2 linked regions of the Macaca mulatta genome follow. The protein of the gene in region 1 binds, or shares a complex with, the protein of each later gene. Links are inferred from orthologs where the notes say so. Each region holds a gene or a part of one and is shown in the gene's direction. Other genes may lie near its edges. The genes, in order: GTF2E2 and POLR2C.

Region 1 (3,811 bases):
GAGTTCATAGACTACCAACATATAGTTAACATGACTTTGATCATTTTACTATTCTATTCTCCCTTTTTTCTTCTTCCTGTGTTTCTTCTCTCTCTCCTTTCAGGGTCAGGCTGGCAGCTGCAGAAGAAAATATATAGGGTTGCTCTTTTTGAAGAGCTTTCCTTCTGATACTAGCTGTACAACAGAACTGACTAGAAACATAATTATATTCAGTAATTCCTGCATTCCTACTCAGTTTCATTCTCAAGCTGACATAGGTAAAGTTCTTGTATGCACTAGTCTGGTCCTTTTCAGTTCGTTACACAGCTGCCAGTGCCAGTTGATAGCAGATGGGGAAGACCATTGACTAGTACGGGTAATGTCTCTCACTTTGTAATGCCAATATGTGATAAGCTATACTTTGCAGGCGGAGTGGGCACTACTCAGTTCACTAGGTGTTTTATTGATTTCTACCCATTTTGACTTCTAGAAGAATATGGATTCAGCTTTTTTCAAAGTAGTTGTGATAAAATAGTTTATTTCTCCTCAAAGAATTTATGTAAATAAAACACAGTTTCTTTTATAAAAAGTGAACACCATGCTGATCTACTCTTCTGGAATCCTGGATGTCCAGGATGTTAGGCCTGCCAGTTTGTGTTCATAAGGTACTTTTAATTTGCCACTGTATTGGCTGGTGTTGTATTTTAAAATAATTAGTAGAATTAAGAATGTATATATGGGCTGGGCGCAGTGGCTCATGCCTATAATCCCAGAACTTTGGGAGGCCGAGGCAGGTGGATCACCTGAGGTCAGAAGTTCAAGACCAGCCTGGCCAACATGTTGAAACCCTGTCTCTACTAAAAATACAAAAATTAGCTGGGTGTGGTGGTACGCGCCTGTAGTCCCAGGTGCTGAGAGGGAGGGAGGCAGGAGAGGGAGGCTAAGGCAGGAGAATCGCTTGAACCCAGAAGGTGGAGGTTGCACTGAGCTGAGATCACGCCACTGCATTCCAGCCTGGGCAACAGAGCAAGACTCGTTTAAAAAAAAAAAAGAACGTATTTATGTTTCCATTTGTTAATATACTCCAATTGTATCACTGTTACAGGCTTTAGTCAACAATCCCAAAATTGAAGTAATAGATGGGAAGTATGCTTTCAAGCCCAAGTACAACGTGAGAGATAAGAAGGCCCTACTTAGGCTCTTAGATCAGCATGACCAGCGAGGATTAGGAGGGATTCTTTTAGAAGACATCGAAGAAGCACTGCCCAATTCCCAGAAAGCTGTCAAGGTAATCTCTCTCTTCTTTCTGTGTCTTAATGTAATTTGAATGAATAATGACTTCTTGGTTCTAGAAATATCAAACATTTTACAATTGTTTTTAAAGCTTCCATTATATACACATGGGGTTACAGTGAGCCACTTGAAGGTTTGAAATTTGTCTTGTGTCACCAAGCAGGAAAGGGAGCAGCCATCTCTGTGTAACTTTGACGGGTTCCTGTTGCTGTTGCTATATGATTGTTTGATTGTTCAGGATATTTCTGGAAAATTTTCCTCAAAGGCAGTAGAGTTTCTCTTGTAAGCTGTGTTTGTAAATAAGAGTGTCTTCTATAATAGTAGTAGATGTTCCTTACCTGAGGAACTAGAGGCATTAAAACACAAAAGTATTGATTAATAACCTGGCTATTTTGAAGTCCTAAAGGGGCTACCTATGAAAGTCCTACTGGTACAGATTACATTTCCAATTTAAATTTGAAACTCACTGGGGAAAGCTGCTTGTTTTCATTTGTCACAATTGCTAAGGATTAATGTTAACTTATCAAGCAGGTTCATTCATTTGCTATTAGAAGAAAACTTGGCCTTTTCTCTCCTCTGCTTCTTGGTAATGGAATTATACATGTCACATCTTCTGGTTTTGTACCACAAGTCCTTGAGGCTCTCTTTATTTATTTCAGTTTTTTTTTTTCCTGTTCTGTTAATCCATTGTCAAGTTCACTCACTTTTCTTCTTCACTTCCAACTTGTTAAGCCCAGTTGGTGAATTTTTTTAGTTGTATTTTTCAGTTCTAGCCTTTCTTTTTAAATTGTTCTTCTGGTTTCTGTTTCTTTGCTGAATTTCGTTTTCTTTTTTTTTTTTTTCCATTCGTGACAGGTATCTTTTGTTACACCCTTGAGTATGATTTCTTATAGCTGTTTTAAAATTCTTATTCTAACAGCTGAGTCATCTTAGAGCTGGTCTGCAGTGACTGTCTCTTTTATGGGTCATATTTTCCTGTTTCTTCATATATCTAATACATTTCTGTGGGTCTTAGACCTTGTGAATTATATTAATACGTGTAAAGACTCAGGATTCTGTTACATTCCTCCAAAGAGTGTTTTTATTTGTTTTGTTTTGTGGTTAAGTGGGCAGTTACTCCAAACCTTGTCTACCCTACAGCAGGTAGCATATGATATGTCTCTTCTGTTCTTTTAGCCTTAGCCCTTTTGCTCGGAATCTTTTTCCATTCATGCATAGCCCAGGGTAGCTAGGCTGACTTTTTCCAAGGTTTCCTTTTTCACTTTCCAGTTGCTGTGGTTGCCCCACGCTCTGTTTCCTGGTTCTTCAATGCAGAAACACTGAGGATTAGCTAAAACACTGAGTTTTAGCTTCACAGGGCACTGACTGTGGCCTGCCCTCGGTGCTCTTTCTGAGTATAGACCCCCCCCCCCCTTTTTGCCTGTTTTCTTTTGGTTGCTTTTCAGTTCCTTTAGGTAGTTGGATTTTTTTTTTTTTTTTTAAATCGGAATTTCACTCTTGTTGCCCAGGCTGGAGTGCAATGGCACGATCTCAGCTCACCACAGCCTCCGTCTCCTGGGTTCTAGTGATTCTCCTGCCTCAGCCTCCTGAATAGCTGGGATTACAGGCATGCATCACCACACCCAGCTAATTTTGTTGTCAGGCTGGTCTCCAACTCCCAACCTCAGGTGATCTGCCCGCCTGAGCTTCCCAAAGTTCTGGGATTACAGGTGTGAGCTACCACGCCCGGCCTAGGTAGTTGATTTTTAAAATGTCTTGTCCAGAGTTGATAGTGTTTTCTGTGGGAGGTTGGGTCCTTTAGGAGCTACTTGGTCATTATCAGAAGCAGGGCCCTCCTAAGATTTTTAACTTAAAAGTGTCTCAGCTTAACCTGCACAAATGTTGTCAATAAAGACATGTCACCAAAGTTGATACTTTGTGTGCTGTATAGTGTGTTGAATTCAGTGGGACTACTGAATCCTAGACTAACAGTTGAGTGCTAGGTGTGTTTCCTGCATGGCTGTTTTCTCCCATTTTGGTAGGGGCTTTCCTGTTACTATATGTGGTAGGCTTTTCATTACATTTTAAACTACAACAGTGCCATAATCTGATAATGGCTTAGTCCATCTTAAATAATTTTGTGATGTAAATTTAGTTTGACATCTGTCTTTACTGGCTCTGTTCCCTTACTTAGAATTAGAGTAGAAGGGTTATGAAAGCACACAGTCGGTTTTCATTTTCAGGCAGGCTTTATTTCCAAATTGTTTGAAACCCAAAATTTTTGTTCTTCTTTAAAAAATGTGAAGATATGTTGTAGCCTAAAAAATTCCTCAAGTAGTTCTTCGGCACATCTACATTAAATCTCATCTGTGTTGCTTCCTCTTCAGTTCTTGGTGGAGATACAAATATTATTGTAATTTTGTTGATCATACAATGCTTTGAAGAAGTGTGCAATACAGCACTAGCAGGGAACAAAAAGGACTGTGCAAAAAGCAAGAAAACAAGAGAATGGAGAAAGCCAGTGACTGTTTCAGATTGCTTGTCCCTCCTTAATTGTTAT
Region 2 (4,314 bases), on another chromosome or scaffold:
GATCCCAGGCCTGGTGTCATATGACACCAGCATGCATCGCAGGATTATTAGTGTATTTTGAGTCTAAAAATAATAAATATGTTTGAAGTAGTTTCCTATTGTGTAGTTAGTTTGCTTATCAACCATGATAGGTATCCAAGACCCCAGAGGGAGACAGAGGTGTTATGGAAGAGGCTTGAGGCTGGCAGCCAGGAGACCTGTGTTCTGGCGCTGCCACTGCCTAGTACACAGTAGTAGTTATGGTACCTCTGCGTTTCTGGGCTCAAGTCTTCCCATCAGTAAAATAGGGGTAACAGAAGCCTTCCCACAGACCATTAGCTCTCTTGGCTGCCCTTGTCTGACGATTTCAGTGGTACATTCTTTAGCCCCAGTAATTTTCTCAGCCTGTACACTGGCTGGGTTCCCTTTGCATGTCTGGTTAGCTCTGTTTTCTGCTTTGCTCTCTTCTGCCTAAGTCAGCTAAATATTATTGGGGGAAGTCAGCAACTAATTGAATTTCAGATCTCTTGTGGGTCTTCCACTGGATCTTTTTTGTACCTCTCTTCATTCCTTGTATCTTTTGACATCCTGTGAAGTTTTTGCAGTAGCTGTTCCAGTTTTCATTGCATTCTCCTTTTTCCTTCATAGCATCCATCTCACACTCAGCAGACAACCATAATTCTTAATTTACAGAGATGACACAGGCTATGGAGCAGGGTTCCATCAGTGCCCACCCTCTGTCTCAGGAAGAGGTGTCAGTCTTTGCAAAGGCAAACTCTTTATCTGGTTACTCTTCTCCCACCTCTTAAATGTAGCTCCTGTCAAGTTCTATTTTAGAGCTTTTGTCTGTTGGAGCAGCCGCCACTTTGTTTGAGGCCCATTGAGAGTTTGAGACTCTCTCCAGTCTGTTTAGGGGACTTCAGTAGTTGTTGGTTGAGCATGCACCCCACATGGTGCCCACTGCGAGGCACTGGAGATGCAGAGACAAAGAGCTCCCACTCACCCACCGCAGCTACACAGACTGCAGAGGAAGCATTAGGTTAAAGAATATTATATCTTTTCCTGAAGTTTTCAGAAGTGCATGGTCCATACTTGAGACTGCAAGGGAAAGGGTATTTACTTATAATTCAGGTATACTTTCCTAAAATATGCATTCATATTAAAATATACTTTTGTTTTTCTGTAGATGTACAAGTTCTTTTTAAGGGCTTCATGATATTCTACGTGTGTATACTTCACCAGGTCTCTTATCAGTGGACAGTACAAACAGTACTACCATGAATGTCCCTGCACTCGTATCTTTGTTTACAACTGCAAGTGTTTCTGCAGTATGAGTTCTTAGAAATGTTACTGTTAAGTCGAGGACGTACGCGTGTTTTGCCAAACTACCCTCCGAGATAGCTGAATCCGGTACATTTTAAAGCAGGAGGCGGTAGAAGACGCTCGGCGGTTCCGGCCTCCGAGCAGCAGGCGGCGCTGTGAGCCGTCTTCGCGGAGGCCACGCTGACTGACTTCCGGTGTCGGCGGTGGCGCAGGCGCAGTCACCGCGGAGCTGACGCGGAGGCTGGCGGCCACGGGGAGCGATGCCGTACGCCAACCAGCCCACCGTGCGGATCACTGAGCTCACTGACGAGAATGTGAAGTTCATCATCGAGAACACCGACCTGGCGTAAGGCTGCCGAGGGAAGAGGCTGGCGGCTCTGGGGCGCCGGGAGGCCCAAGCCGGGGCCCCGGGGGCAGGGAGCGGGGGTGGAGTGGGGGTGATGTCCTTCCAGAGCTGCCCCCCTGCGCCAGGGCTTTAGCTTTGGGAGCCTGCGGCGCGGGCCCAGCCTGTCGAGGCTGCAGCGCCTTCACGCCTCTTGGCTTTTCGTCTTTCAGGGTGGCCAATTCGATTCGGAGGGTCTTCATCGCTGAGGTGCCCATAATAGGTAAGCGACCCCCCTTCCTCGTTCCCGGGCCCACGGGTTCCTGCCCCGCTCTCCACCCACACTCCCTGGGGCTCCTTCCAGTCCTTGGTTCGGGCTGAGGGTGGTAGTGCTGAGAAAAGTGCATTGCTGGAGACTTGACCATACCCTGTGCCCTTGGCCCAGTGGCCGCCTCCCTGGCACCCACGGACCACTTAGGTCCACTGTTGTCCTGCGTATGCATTGCTGAGAAGCATGGGTTTAACCGTGTGCAGACTTGGGTTCAAATACTGTTTTCACTACTATTGTCACAAAAGTTTTTTAAATGTTTTCAACTTTTATTTTGGATTCAGGGGGGTACATTGGTGCAGGGTTGTTGCCTGGGTATAGTGCGTGATGCTGAGGTTTGGGATATGAATGATCCTTTCACCCAGGTAGTGAGCGTAGTACCCAATAGGTAGTTTTTTACTCCTAGCCCCACTGCCTCCCTCCCTGCTCTAGTAGTCACCAGTGTGTCTATATTGTCATCTTTATGTCTATGCGTGCCCAGTTTTAACTCCCATGCGGTGTTTGGTTTTCTGTTCCTGTGTTAATTCTCTTAGGATAATGGCTTCCAGGCCGGGCTCACGCCTGTAATCCCAGCACTTTGGGAGGCCGAGGCTGAGGAACACCTGAGGCCAGGAGTTCGAGACCAGCCTGGCCAACATGGGAAAACCTCGTCTCTACTAAAAATACAAAAATTAGCCGGGTGTGGTGGTGCACACCTGTAATCCCAGCTACTGGGGAGGCTGAGGCAGAACTGATTGAACCCGGAAGGTGGAGGTTGCATTGAGCTGAGATCATGCCTCTTACGCTCTAGCGTGCGCAACAGAGTTGAGACTCCTTCTCAAACAAAAGAGAATAAAAAAGAGGATAGTGGCTTCCAGCCGCGTCCATGTTGCTGCAGAGGACATTATTTCGTTCTTTTTAATGGCTGCATCAGTTACTATTTTTGAGAAACTTGGGCAAGTTATTAAACTTCTGCGTACTTCAGTTTCCTCATCTGTAACATTCAGCCACTAATGATCTTTATCAGGGTAATGTTAAGGATTAAGTGAGGTAATCCATATAAGTGCTTTATGTTTAGTGAGTGCTCAGTGCTGGTAGATGGCTTTTTTATTAATCTATTCCTTCAACAGCATTTATGGAGCATGTAAGTGGCAGGCATGGTGGTAAGCTCTGGGAATACAAAGCTGTAGAGAACATGGTTTTTGCCCTCATGGAGTCCACAGTGAGGTTGCAGGGGGAGAGATGAATCCACAGACAACACTAAAGCAAGGTAGACTGATCAGTAGTTCAGGAGAAGCATAGCTATGGTGCAGTTGGCTCTTAGAGGAGGGAACATCAATTTCTGGTCTGGTTCCAGCCACTTTGCTCCAGGTGCTTAATGCATTGATTATACTTGTATGAAATACTTCAAGCATTTCCGAGAGTCAGGTCCAGAGAGTTTGGGTTAGGCAAAAGAAATATGTGGCATCAAATATTTAGACTTTTAAGGAAATAAGCAAGCCAAATGATTAGGCAAGAGAACATTGTAGTTTATCCACTACCAACCCCGGCCCCCCAGTCACTTCTTCAATTCAGCTTGGAGTGCTGGACCTCCCCCTGACTAATCACTTCATGTCTCTGGACCTCAGTTTCGTCAAGAGTCAGGTGAGGGAGTTGTACTTCATGATGCAGCCCTGCCATTCTGAGTCTAAATGCCTCTTTCCCCACAAATTCAGTTCTACAAATAATGTTGAGCACCCAAGCTAGGAATACAAAGACATCCCAGCACCTGCCTGAAGGAATTTCTGAAGCTTGGGGTATAGACATAACATACACAAATGTGACACAAGGCACACTATGACAAGTGTCTTCAGGGAAGTCTGAAGAGAGTTTCATGAGAGAGGAGGTGAAAGAGAGGGAGTGCCACACCTGTAGCATAGAGGGCAGGCAAGGCTTAGTTTTTAGGAGGCACAGAGGATCTTAACCTGTACAGTGAGGAGGGGAAGGGTGTGCTGGAGGAAGGGGCCGGGGGATTAAAGAGGCAGAAAAGCTTGGGTCAGGGTTCTCTTAGTTGGCTTGGACTGGGGAAGCAATGGGAAGCATAGCAGGACAGAGTAGGTGGAGGCCTAGCATGTGGAGGTCCTCTTCCGACCTCTGTTCCTAGTGTCTGTGTCCCTCATTTGGCAGTTGGGCTCCAATGCCATTTGATTCCTGGATTTAGTTGGTTCCATGCAAATGTTTATGAATGAATAAATATGTGTTTAAGTCAAGCGTGTGTGATAGATAATACCGTCTTTACCTTCCTACCTGCTCATTGCTGCTAGGGATTGGGTTCTATATTTAGTATGCTTTGTGCGTTAAAGGAATTCAGTAAAAGTCTGTTGGTTGAATGTTTAAAAAGTGC

The links.
Region 2: GTF2E2 (region 1) and POLR2C share a complex: the UniProt entries of both Homo sapiens proteins name them as parts of the TBP-based Pol II pre-initiation complex. The link is inferred for Macaca mulatta from reciprocal best matches to the Homo sapiens genes GTF2E2 and POLR2C.

The regions. Positions count from the first base shown.
Region 1 is NC_133413.1:32,389,979-32,393,789, reverse strand, and holds part of GTF2E2 (transcription initiation factor IIE subunit beta), read left to right. Parts: intron 1-1,084; coding exon 1,085-1,267; intron 1,268-3,811. UniProt on the Homo sapiens protein: Recruits TFIIH to the initiation complex and stimulates the RNA polymerase II C-terminal domain kinase and DNA-dependent ATPase activities of TFIIH. Both TFIIH and TFIIE are required for promoter clearance by RNA polymerase.
Region 2 is NC_133425.1:53,058,448-53,062,761, forward strand, and holds the start of POLR2C (DNA-directed RNA polymerase II subunit RPB3), read left to right. Parts: upstream 1-1,509; 5' UTR 1,510-1,562; coding exon 1,563-1,648; intron 1,649-1,857; coding exon 1,858-1,907; intron 1,908-4,314. UniProt on the Homo sapiens protein: Core component of RNA polymerase II (Pol II), a DNA-dependent RNA polymerase which synthesizes mRNA precursors and many functional non-coding RNAs using the four ribonucleoside triphosphates as substrates.